3 linked regions of the Saccharomyces cerevisiae S288C genome follow. The protein of the gene in region 1 purifies or fractionates together with the protein of each later gene. This does not show direct contact. Each region holds a gene or a part of one and is shown in the gene's direction. Other genes may lie near its edges.

Region 1 (3,072 bases):
GATGACAGCTTCTCATAACTTATGTCATCATCTTAACACCGTATATGATAATATATTGATAATATAACTATTAGTTGATAGACGATAGTGGATTTTTATTCCAACAATTACTTTAACATGAATAAGCTCAAAGTAAGCCAGAACAATTACCTACAAAGAAGTGATTTCTATAAATTCGAAAGAAACGGCACTGAATGGGAATATATATTTGCATCAAATTCAGCTTGTCTTGATTATAATAATAATACAGCTGTTAATAATGATATAATTTCGTCACTTAATTATTGCATCAGTGATGACAGATATTATGAAACTGCAGCGATGTGTGTGGTTTTGAAATTATCTCAAGATTGCTCTTTTGATGTGAGGCTTCAACGAAGTGGAAATGGGCCATATAAGAATATCTGGGATATGCCTTGCGGAGAATTACAACAACACATTGGTTACAAAAATGGTATATGCTATAATAGTGAAAACACGGTGTTATCGGCAGTAGGTGTAGAACATCGATATCATAAAAGTGTTTCTCGTCTATAAGATAAATTTGTTGGCGGTTATAGTTCGAAAAAGTGTATTGGACATGTTATAGATCAGAAAAACTTGGATAAAAATTGATAAAAGAAAAATGAACCACAATACCTTTACATAGTATTTTAACTCATTATCCTCGTGAAATATATATATATATATGGATATATATGGAACTTTGTTGGAATGAAATTTTAATATCATCTATTTCGCAGCACTCATGTTACTATTATATCACATGCGGTGTAAGAGGATGGCATAAAGATTGAGAAACAGTCATCCAATCTAATGGAATGCACGACACAATAATGAGTGACAACATATAAAAGGAAGTAAGATACAATAATATTATTATGTATAACTATCGATTTCCTTTTGTGGATTCCTATATCCTCGAAAAGAACTTCTAGTATAATCTGTGTACCTAATATTACAGCCTTTGAAAACAATGGAATCCCAACAATTATCTTATTCCCATAATTCTCATATACAAGATACAAGGGAGAAGTAAACAATGGATACAAGGAGAAATATGGCGCTAAAGGCTGATTTAATTGGATTGTTCGATTCGAAGTCGCTCAATAGAATTTGATGGCTCCCTCAGAGTGCGGTTCAAATCATTCGGATACTTTGAAGAAAGGGTAATATATTGTACCTTTGAACATGAGTTCATGAGTTGAAAAAGGTAAAAATAATCTGCTAAAATGATTACTCTTCTCTAAGAATGTGGTCTTCCCCACCCACGTGATAGTAATACATAGGAACCGTTTTACTGAACGCTACATTACCCATCAATATAATATCATGATTTAGCCGCCGAATTTTATGTAACTAAAAGGTTGCGGGACTTTGAAGCCCAGGTAGAAGTGTTTCATTCACAGAAGGAGATGCCAATGTGCTATTATTATCCCTGTGTGGCGCACTATTCAAACGGATTTGACTGTTCTTCAAAATATCGTCATCGCAGACGCTAAGGTTGTTGGGAGAAGCCACAGTCATTAGATACGATAGTCTCATGATGACTTTTTCTCGTTTTTTTTCGACGTTTTAAGGTCGCGTCGAAGTTAGGAAGGTTAGTTCATTTACAACTTGTTTTTGAATACTTACTTTCTTAATCATCTATTTTGATTTGTTGTCCCTTAGGTCTATAGAACAGGATATCCCGCCGCGCAATTTACTAATGACCTACACTACCAGACAAATTGGTGCCAAGAACACCTTGGAATACAAAGTTTATATCGAAAAGGATGGTAAGCCAGTTTCTGCCTTCCACGACATTCCCTTGTACGCTGACAAGGAAAACAACATTTTCAACATGGTTGTTGAAATTCCACGTTGGACCAACGCCAAGTTAGAAATCACCAAGGAAGAAACTTTGAACCCAATCATCCAAGACACCAAGAAGGGCAAGTTGAGATTTGTTAGAAACTGTTTCCCTCACCATGGTTACATTCACAACTATGGTGCTTTCCCACAAACTTGGGAAGACCCAAACGTAAGCCACCCAGAAACTAAGGCAGTTGGTGACAACGATCCAATTGATGTGTTGGAAATTGGTGAAACTATTGCTTACACTGGTCAAGTCAAGCAAGTTAAGGCTCTAGGTATCATGGCTTTATTGGATGAAGGTGAGACCGATTGGAAAGTTATTGCCATTGATATTAACGATCCATTAGCCCCAAAATTGAACGACATTGAGGATGTTGAGAAATACTTCCCAGGTCTGTTGAGGGCTACTAACGAATGGTTCAGAATTTACAAAATCCCAGATGGTAAGCCAGAAAACCAATTTGCCTTCTCCGGTGAAGCTAAGAACAAGAAGTACGCTTTGGATATCATCAAGGAAACACATGACTCCTGGAAACAATTAATTGCTGGTAAGTCTTCTGACAGCAAGGGTATTGATTTGACCAATGTTACTTTGCCTGACACCCCAACCTACTCCAAGGCTGCCTCTGATGCCATCCCACCAGCTTCTCCAAAGGCAGATGCTCCAATTGACAAGTCTATTGACAAGTGGTTCTTCATCTCCGGTTCTGTTTAAAATATTTTGAATTGAAAATGAGACACCTACCACGTATGCGGCTTCAAGTTGTTTAATATGTAGCTATATATCGATTATATAACTGACTCATGAATGAATATCTTCCTGCTGCAATTTTTCTTTAACCACATGGAAAGCCATAAATCTTGCCTCCTACAAGGCCTGGCTTTTTTCGAGGGTATCGCCAGGAAAAACAAATCAATAAATGTAAAACAAATAGAACCCTATTTTTTTTTATTAAAACCTATATTTTTGTAATAAAAAATAACTATTATACAACTGTTAAAGAACCCAGTAAACCTAAATATATTGATTTATATTTTATTGTGTTTTTGTTCGTTTTTTACTAAAACTGATGACAATCAACAAACTATGATCTTTCACCTCTTAATCTTCTAGCCAACTTGATATCCTTCTTTTGGATAGTGACACGCTTGGCGTGAATGGCAGCCAAGTTGGTATCTTCAAATAAAGAGACTAAGTAGGCTTCGACAGATTCT
Region 2 (3,442 bases), on another chromosome or scaffold:
CAAGCCGGCGAGAGTCGGCTTATGTATATCTTTATAAAATAATCTTTGTTGTCTTTTGATGAGATTGGACAAATTTTTCTGAACTTCCAATACAGAGATCTTTTCGGGATCATCATCAGGTGAAGATAGGCTGGCGCTATTGTGGAATTTAGGGCGCTGCAGAGGCTTAGGTATTATTATATTTGAGGTGCCCAGTGTTGTGGTTGTGGCTCGAATAGCTGGACTAACCATGTTTTGTGCGACTACTTTACGCTTCTTAGGGACAATAATGGATGGTACCGCTGCCGTTGTGGTTGAAGGAGGATCGGACGTCTGATTTCTCCCTGAATAGTCAACCCTTTTTCTTTTCCTGAGTTGCATATGCATATTATATTGTATGTGCTTGTGTAGGTAGAAGCGTCTTTTATTTATCTACTGTCTCATCAGCTCATCGCATCATTAATACCAGTATCGGTTATAGTACATAATTAACAAATGTATGTAGCATTTTGGCATGCTGAAAAAAAAAAAAAAAACTTTATCAGGCAAGTGGCTCGAAACCGTGTGAAAGGATATCATCAACGGTCGTTTTTACCTGTTCCGCGGAATAGCGTTCCCGTGGGAAGAAAAGCAGCACGTGAGCGTGGAAAATCCGGGCAACACTTTGTAGTTCCGGGTAGTTGACAAACCAGGCCACGTGACCCGAGCTTAGAAGTGGACGCAGTAGCGGCTGTGCCTGCAAAAATGCATTCATGCGAGCGCGGGCCGCTTCGCGCACGGCCTTATCTGGGGAATGTACTGGCAGGGCAACCTTGGACCAGAGAACAAGGTGTACAACACCAGGCTCGAAGTTATACGGGAAATCGTTGGCACGCACAGCATATAGAGTAGAAGAACTAAAAGCCTTCGCGGCAGCATTTTCGAGCTGCGGTTCGTCTAGCGACCAGCCTAGTTTTTGCAAAACGTACTGGTTCATGTCCAGGCCAGCAGTCCTTTTCTTATGCTCGTGGTATTTGTCAGTCATCTGGCGACTTCGTTTCAAACGGGCAAGCTCCCCCGATTCAATTATCTCTTTGATTTGTTCCCACTTCCACCCTTGGGCCTCCTCCTGGTGATCGTTGACGATATCTTGTTGCATTGTAAACCTAAGCTGTTATAAGTAAATCAAGTGCAATACAAATATATACAGCATGCTGGCGTCCTTAGCCTCACGCCTACTAAACAAGAGCATCTTACTCTCACCATCCATTTATATACATATATAAGTACGTAAAAATAGATGTGTATAAGTCGTTCTATCTATAACGCGCCCCGAAGTTGTTTAGTATAACAAAAACGGAAAAAAAAAGAAGGAAAATGGAGATTGCCAAAAGCGCGCTAGTTTGACAGAAAGAGTGAAATATTAGTTCAATATTTCAGCTGTCACGGTCATCACTGCTCCGACACTTTTTTGTGGGATGCTTTCTGTTCACCTTGGTTTTCTATGGGTATATAACAGCTGATAAAGAATCGAAGAAGTGAAAATGACGCACCCAGTTATATCACTAAAGCCAAGCTACAATTCTGTAATACGGGGCTGCCCCGGTTTACCTGATACGTTACCACGAATCGAATGCCAGTTAAGAGTGCGCTCAAACAACTCTTTGCCATTCAAATTGGTAAAGATCGAAATTGTTTTAAAGACAATTGAAATATATTTCAACAAAAACCTTTATAGCAGCAATAACAGCTCTTTCACCCCATTTAATCGTCCGTCGGACCCCTCTAATGGCCATTCTGACACCAGTAACCAGAACATCAGCATTCATTATAAGAAAAACATCGTGTTATCCCACCCTACCCATGATGGCGACGATCTCAACAATGATCTTATTGGCATAGACATACCTTTGACGATTGGGCTACCTGACGACATCAAAGAAACAAACTATAATCCGAAATTCGGCAAAACGCAGACTTTCCTGGATTGTACCGTGTTTTATACAGAGGTCGGCGGAGGAAGCTCAAATAAGAAAAGAAATTTTCTTTACCCAGTAAACGTCGAAAGGTATACATACCTACCTTCACCGTCATATTTCAGGCCAATAAACAGATCAAACATCACTTCTCCCGATCAAAAGTTCTTAATTAGTTATTCCATTGAGAATCCCTGTGTTTCTATGAATAATGACACGTTGAAACTCTCCATATCAATCAGGCTGAACCCATTTCCGAACAATGCCACAACTCCCTCTTCGAATGACTTTGATGTGTCCACGCCGACACTTTTCTCCACAAAGAAAAAGTTTAAGTCCAAGCTCAAATTGAAATCAATTACAACACAGATACTAGAATACTTGGAAATTCTGAAGAACCAATCAGAATTCTCATCCACGCAAACAACAAATATTTTGCAAACCTCTGTAAGACAGGTTGATCAAATCATCTCCATGAATTCAATGATTTTTCAATTCAACCTAAAAATATTCACTAAGGACAAAATTTTACAAAGCTTTAGATCTTCTGAGTCGAGTTGTCCCGAAACTAAAGTATTAATCAACAAAATCGACGACATTCCTCTGCAATATCATAGTTCGATAACTACGATAGGTCAACATTTTAATGTTTCTCACTATCTTTCAATAAGGTTCAAATTCAATAAAAGTCTGAAAAACTTCGAAATTAATCACCCCCTAATCATATCGTTTTGGTCAGTAAGTCAATTGCCGCTAATCGAGAACCTAATATTGCAAGAAAGACAAACTGCTAAATTTGCCAAGAAGTTTTATAAAAATTTTGGTCGAATCAAGAACACGAGCAACAACAATAACAGCTCGAACTGTCTAGAGTATCCCTCCTTGCCGCCAATAATTTATAATTTTAACGACCCAGAAACAAATAATAGATTTAATATATTATACTCGCAAAAGGACCCTAGTCGTACGGATCCTTCTAAATTGAGAAGAGTACCTGTCATACAATGAGGCAGTGATTGGCATGGTTCATATATTAAATCAACGCAGATACGTAGATCTATAAAGCTTTTGAATAATGCTAATGTATTATATATTTATATTCTTCTTGTCCCGCACTCTGGTCTTTTCAATTTTCTACATGAAGAGAAAAAAAGACTATAGCGTCCGGCAAAAAAAAAAAAGTTATGGTTTAACAATACAACGGCCCCATGGGTTTAAAATAAGGGCACTTTCATAAAGTCACTTATCACTCAAAAGCACCCATGCAAAAACACAATATAAAATTAAACCAAAACCAGGATATTTCCCAATTATTCCACGATGAAGTACCCTTATTCGACAACTCTATAACTTCAAAGGATAAAGAAGTCATTGAAACTTTATCTGAAATATATTCTATAGTAATCACACTAGACCACGTAGAGAAAGCCTACCTAAAAGACTCCATAGATGACACCCAATACACTAATACTGTTGACAAATTACTAAAGCAGTTCAAGGTCTACCTG
Region 3 (6,435 bases), on another chromosome or scaffold:
TTCTGATGTTAAAGTGTGTGGTGGTAAGACATTATTTCTCACCTTTGTCTTAGCTTGAGGTACTTCAGAGTGTTGATCCTGTGAATCGATTGGATCAGGTGAGGAAGTACTCAGCGGTGGGATATACTGTGGCAGCGGATAGTGTGGGTCCGGTTGATAATACGCAGGTGACGTTTGATAATGTGAACACGTCATCATAGATGGTTGTTGGTAATGTGCCCAGTTAGAAGCCATAGCTTTGTTTGGGGTCATCATGCCGTGCTGTTGGTACTGTCCATTCTGTGGAGGTGGTACTGAAGCAGGTTGAGGAGAGACATGATGATGGTTCTCTGGAACAGCTGATGTCCCAGGTGTTGTCTCTTCTTGAGAATTAACCTTAGTGGAATCTCTATCAAATTCCGGTAAATTGGAAGCTGAAACGGCTAACGGATCTTGATTTGATGGGACTTCCTTAGAAGTAACCGAAGCATAGGCGCTACCATGTAGAGAATGTGGATTTTGATGTAATTGTTGGGATTCCATTGTGATTAAGGCTATAATATTAGGTATGTAGATATACTAGAAGTTCTCCTCAAGGATTTAGGAATCCATAAAAGGGAATCTGCAATTCTACACAATTCTATAAATATTATTATCATCGTTTTATATGTTAATATTCATTGATCCTATTACATTATCAATCCTTGCGTTTCAGCTTCCACTAATTTAGATGACTATTTCTCATCATTTGCGTCATCTTCTAACACCGTATATGATAATATACTAGTAACGTAAATACTAGTTAGTAGATGATAGTTGATTTTTATTCCAACAGGTTCACACGAAGATTGAAAGTGTGGCCACGCTAATTTAGTTTATTAGGGAAATGCTCCTGGTCAGTTCTAATTCACCCAACGTAGCGCGGAATATTTTAAAGTTAATATAGTATTTCGATATGACAAGCACCTCTAAACAAAAGGTTATTTTCGCTTTTGTTCATTGAGCGTGTACTTCAAGCCTGATCCTGCTTTTTCTTCTGATTTGATCTGATTCGATTAAGCAAGCGGTACTACCCTAAAACCGCCATCTGTTGTAATATAGTAACGTCGCAATAAACCTGTCATATAATTAGCAGCTAATCCTTATATTCCATCTCCTCAATTTGTGATATTTATCGTATATAATTCCCATTTCAGACCGTCATTTAGTAGTAGGCATCTAACTATGGAACGGCTTTACCCGATCTTGGTATGTATGCCATAATGTACTACCGCTATCGATTTACCTTAACCCTAACGAGTGTCTCTAGCCAGTATTTTAAACTTCCATATCACAACTAATGTTGAAGATTGTATAATAAAAACATCAAGCTATTTAATAGATGCGATTAATCTCCTAATCGAAAACAGTTTGTTCGGTGTCCAAATACTGTTTTAGTGGACTATGATAAACGTTATAACAGCTATTTTGACTAAAACAACCGTAAATTTACACAGATAGGTGTTCACAGTAATTTTTTGGGGAGTTAGGTCGAAATCTTTTCCAAAACCAGTCATGCAAAGGAAATGCGTCAACTTTTGGGGACTTTTCCCCTACTCAAACACAGTTAGTCAACATTTAAAGGTTGTGTCTTTACTTAAGAGAAAATTAACTGAGCTTCGGTCATACATACGTAATTTCGCTGCTTCCAGTCGAGCAGTTGGTGCGCTATAATCATTTGATGTTTTTAGCTTACGGCTTCTTAAGATTTTCTATTGTTCATACTGACTCGTCGCATAGGCCGCAATATAAATCATTTAGAGAAAACGTTAACACATCGTTTAGGTAAACAACCCCTAGAGAGGATGATCAGTACGCAATATAACTGTTCAAAATCCATTTCTTGCATCAATATTTTATTCAACTATTATTTCTGGAGGTTTTAGTGGTTCTGTATACCCCCTCCAGCCACTGTTATGAACAATTAATTGATACTACTTCGAATATAAACATTAAAACAAAAAACTTATTGAGTGCAGCAAGTTAACATGTATCGATATAATAGAAGTTCCCCTTTTGAACGAACACCAGAAAAACGAGTAAGCCGTCAAGAAAGCCAACGAAAGAGCATCGAATTGCCCAAACTGCCACCATTGAATACGAGGAACTCCTTTTTGGATGATTCTGATAACGGAACAGATAATATCTCAATTGGCTGGACACCAATCAGTGACACCCAGCAATTCCAAAGCCCGGTCCCTCAGGCTTTTACCTTTACATCAAAACATAGTGCAAGGGGAAACGGTACTAGCTCTTCAGAATCCACACCCAAATCGACAAAGTACGTCAAAGAAAGACGACCACCACCACCGCCACCCCTTTTGTATTCCACTGAATCAATACGGATAGACTCACCCATGGTATCTCCCAGTTCTCAGTCCCGGGAAAGATCACCTAATAAACTATCCTTTATAGGAAACTCAGAGGAACGACATCACATGGAATACATATCTAACCATTCCAGGATCTTAAAATCACCATTTGCGAACGGATTTAGTCCAAATTCCCCTAAATCTCCAAGAGATAGTAGCAAACAGCAGGCTCACTTCTCTGATGAATCAGATCTACGGTGTCATGAAAGAGAAAAAGCTTTACCCCCAATTCCTTTCACTACTACTCTTCTGCTATCTCCTTTTGATGATGAAGACTCAGAATTTTTTACGAAACCACCACCGCCTCTATCAACATCTAGAAACGTAAGTGGGAATAGCCGAGTATCAGAAGCCCTAGAAAGTGTTTATTCTGACTCAGATTATACTTTTAATAACTCAAATGCCAGGCAAAGTAGTTTTAACTCTTTACTAGGAGCCAAGCCATTAGAATTAGCACCAAGCATTACTGCACCGACACAACCATTTTCAATTCAATCTATCGATGAGCACAAGCTTTATCAATGTGATAATGTTTACAAACTTTCTGCTATTTATGAGTGGATTTTGAAAGTTTATTTTGAATGGTTTAATGAATGTGTCTTCACGAAAATCGATCTTTTCCAAATTGTTCAATTACTTTTAGAGTTTCAAATGCCTACAAATTTCGATCAAGATACGATAGACTCAAATGTGGATAATATTATGGCTTCGTTTATTTCCCAGAAAGCAGTAAGATTCGATATCATTAACGATGAAGAGGTAGCCGTAGTTGTGGGAGGGCTGGATATTACTGGTGTTTTCACCGAACTACTACCGTGCTATTCATTCATCGATAATACTTATGGATCTACAAACTCCCTGATTTGTTATTCCAACGTTTGCACACATGGCCAAAGCTCTGGCTTCAGAAAAGAAATAAAACTTTCCGAAATCATAAATAAATCAGTTGGACTTTGGACAGAATACTGGCACTTGACTCCAGATGATTTAGCAGAAATTAATCCCCGTGAAGTACAAAGACAAAGCTTTATATTTGACTTAATTATTTTAGAAGAAAGATCCTTAAACATGGCTACTGCCGCGGTAGAAATCTATGGGAAACGGTTTGACAAATCCCTACTTCCAGATGAGCCTGAGTTCAAGGCATTGGCATTTGATATCTTCGAACCTCTAATACAATTACATACCGAATTTCTTTTGACGCCAATATTTTGGAAATTAAAAACGAGAGGTAAGTTTATTGATGGCGTTGGAAAAATCTATTCAAAATGGTGTGGTGAAGCCAAGAATATATATTTGAATTACGCGAAAGCTATGGCAACGGTACACGAAATCATAATGTGGGAGAAGAAAAACAAGACGAAATTTGTAACATGGCTTAAGGAGATTGATAACTCGGTTGAAATTACAAGATCGAAGATGTATCATGATGTTATATTCTTTGGGGGGTTTTTCAAATCTTTACAAAACATGCCCGTAACTCTGCGCTCAATTTTGAAGAACACGGATCCTTCCATGGAGGATTATGAATACCTGAAAATAGTAATTAAGGAAGTAGAAAAGTTGAACTTTGAAGTTAATCAGGTACATGGATTAGCAATTGACCATAGGAAACTAGTAAGGTTTTCGAAACAATTAGTATTAAGTACTAATAGTAGTAATGCAACAAGCTATGTGAACGTCGGTGGTAGTACTAACGCAAATGACGATGATGCAATTCAGGATAAACTAGCTCTTGGTTTAACTTATCCGGAAAGGAAGTTAGTACTATCTGGCACTGTTTATAAAAAGAGGGATTTATGGCTGGACCCAACCCCAGTGTATATCGCATTATTGGACAATTGCTTACTGATTACAGAGGAAATAAGTAAAGGAGAAACTCAAAAATATAAGCTTATTGAAAGACCTATCCCAATAGATTATTTAAGTCTCGAGAAAAGGAAAATTCCAGGAACAAGTAAACAGCCTCTGAGAAACTACTCTCAGAAAGAACATAAATCCCCAATGCATAATTTTTCGACACCGATTAACTCCATGAGACCTCTGCTTAAAAGTTCTGGAAATCACATGTCAACAGCGTATGGAGATAGAAAGACTAGTAATACTGAAATTTCTAACGCGAATCCAAACACAGACGAGTTCTCATTTAAGATCAGAAATACAGCCACAGGTGAATCGTTCAAATTTTTTACAGAAAGTGCAGAAGTACTCAACCAATGGATTGATGCTATCATGGAATCTTTTAAAAGAAATGCAGAAAATCATGATTTAAATGCCTTTGAATTTACAGTGTTGAGCTCTGAGTTCGCATACTTCGACAAGGATGCACCGGTGAATCTACCTGTAGCTCCGGAAGGATCAGAAATTGATGTAGCACTCAAAGCTTACGCTCAAAAAGCAAACAAAGATTCATGTTCATGGAGTAAGACAACACGGATTCTTTGTTGTGAAGATGTTAAATTCGAGGGCAGAATTTACCTATTTGTGGCTACAACAGACGGTATCTATGTGAAATATAGAGACGATTATGGTAGTGGTTTCGTTAAAATATTAGAATTAAACGACGTCAAAAGAATGGAAGCCAATGTTAAGTTGGGGCTCTTGTTTGTATTGGATAACAGAAAGTTGTGCTATTTTAATATCTCAACGGTAGTGAGCCGTTACCTAGCGCAAGGAAACACTCTAGATGAAAACTGCATTGTGGGAACAGTAATCAGAGATAAGGTGAGATTCTTCAAAATTGCTGATGATTTTGGTAACTCAAAACATTTATTTTTTGAAAGAAAGGGGAAGATAGTTATATTAACACCAGAATTTGATCAATTGACAAACCAAGTAAAATATTTCAAATTTTACAAAGAGTATAAGCTCCCAAGTTCAAGTAATAACATTCTGAATAACGAAATTGAGGATATTGCCATATTCAGGAAAAGTTTTGCTGTGTGTACAAAGAAAACAGTCATACTTTATCAAGATTCATTCGAGGATAACGGAATAGTCTTACCATCTTTTTTGAATGATAAAGATATGATGGCACACTTGAGGCATCCACATTTGAATAGCTTACCGTTCAAAAGTGCTACAGACTCCAAGAAACGCCCCTCCATAGAATCTCTCACTGAAGAAGCAAAAAAGGATATCGCCACTTGCAAAGCTATACCGGTCAATTTTTTTCAAATATCACAATCTAGTTTTTTTGCCTTGGTTTATGATGAAGCCGTAGTGAAAATAAACTGCTACGGTGAGATGTCTGATTGGAGAAAGGATATTCTCTTACTTGATTTTTGTTGTACCGGCGCGAGCTTCCATGGTAATCATTTGATTCTCGTTGGCGACAATTTGATACAGATTTACGACTTAAAAAATGTTGAGCAGAACCTAGGCGAATTGGTTCCCGTCCAGATCATAAAAGGAAAGAAGATAAAGCTGGCTAGTTCAGAAAGGAGAGAGAAAACAATTCTTGTGTTAAGTCATCCAAATATACTTAATAGACAATTATTAGTCGCGTGCAATCCTGTAGCAATGGCAGATCATCAATAATATAAGATATAGACACTTTTAATGGTAAATATCGTTGTAATAATATAAGCCAACAAGAATATAGTCCAGTAATTATGCTATTTGCAGTAACTCACATCATTATTCTCTCTGTTCATATAATCCTGAATAACAGGTTACCCTCGGAAGTGCATTTAGCCGTATAACAAGTAGCTCTTTAAAATCAGTAGAACAGATACATTAATATGTGATAATACGGCTGTGAGGAAAAGGTGAAGTTCTGGTGATGAATATAGACTGTTTGTGTCGTTGGGTAGTTCTGCCACTGCTGCGCTATCCACTTCTGGTAGCTCTTGTATTGAGATGGTATGTAAAGTAGAAAATAGGCATGAGGTTAGAAACAGCGTTTTTTATACTAACATGACGAACTAACCTAGGTCTCTAAGCGACTCGATAAGCATTTGTCTAACAATCTATACACTACTGATAAATGCATTCCTCATTGCTAATTCCTATATAAAGCGGTCGGGACAGGTCGCCTGGAAGA

Evidence for each region.
Region 2: the proteins of IPP1 (region 1) and RGL1 purify together in Saccharomyces cerevisiae (affinity purification with mass spectrometry; 4 studies listed by BioGRID). This does not show direct contact.
Region 3: the proteins of IPP1 (region 1) and TUS1 purify together in Saccharomyces cerevisiae (affinity purification with mass spectrometry; 3 studies listed by BioGRID). This does not show direct contact.

What each region holds. Positions count from the first base shown.
Region 1 is NC_001134.8:256,612-259,683, reverse strand, and holds IPP1 (inorganic diphosphatase IPP1), read left to right. Parts: upstream 1-1,708; coding exon 1,709-2,572; downstream 2,573-3,072. Other genes in the region: HHT1 (histone H3), read right to left, coding at 2,943-3,072.
Region 2 is NC_001148.4:424,731-428,172, forward strand, and holds RGL1 (Rgl1p), read left to right. Parts: upstream 1-1,502; coding exon 1,503-2,942; downstream 2,943-3,442. Other genes in the region: YPL068C (uncharacterized protein), read right to left, coding at 1-366; HTC1 (Htc1p), read right to left, coding at 521-1,117; ESCRT-I subunit protein VPS28, read left to right, coding at 3,197-3,442. UniProt on the Saccharomyces cerevisiae protein: Regulator of RHO1 signaling that acts as a cofactor required for the efficient localization of the TUS1 GTP exchange factor (GEF) for RHO1 to the bud neck during all phases of cytokinesis.
Region 3 is NC_001144.5:980,888-987,322, forward strand, and holds TUS1 (Rho family guanine nucleotide exchange factor TUS1), read left to right. Parts: upstream 1-2,006; coding exon 2,007-5,930; downstream 5,931-6,435. Other genes in the region: TDA5 (Tda5p), read left to right, coding at 6,175-6,254, 6,326-6,435. UniProt on the Saccharomyces cerevisiae protein: Guanine nucleotide-exchange factor (GEF) for RHO1 that stimulates the exchange of RHO1 GDP-bound form into GTP-bound form. Required for signaling of cell wall defects to RHO1.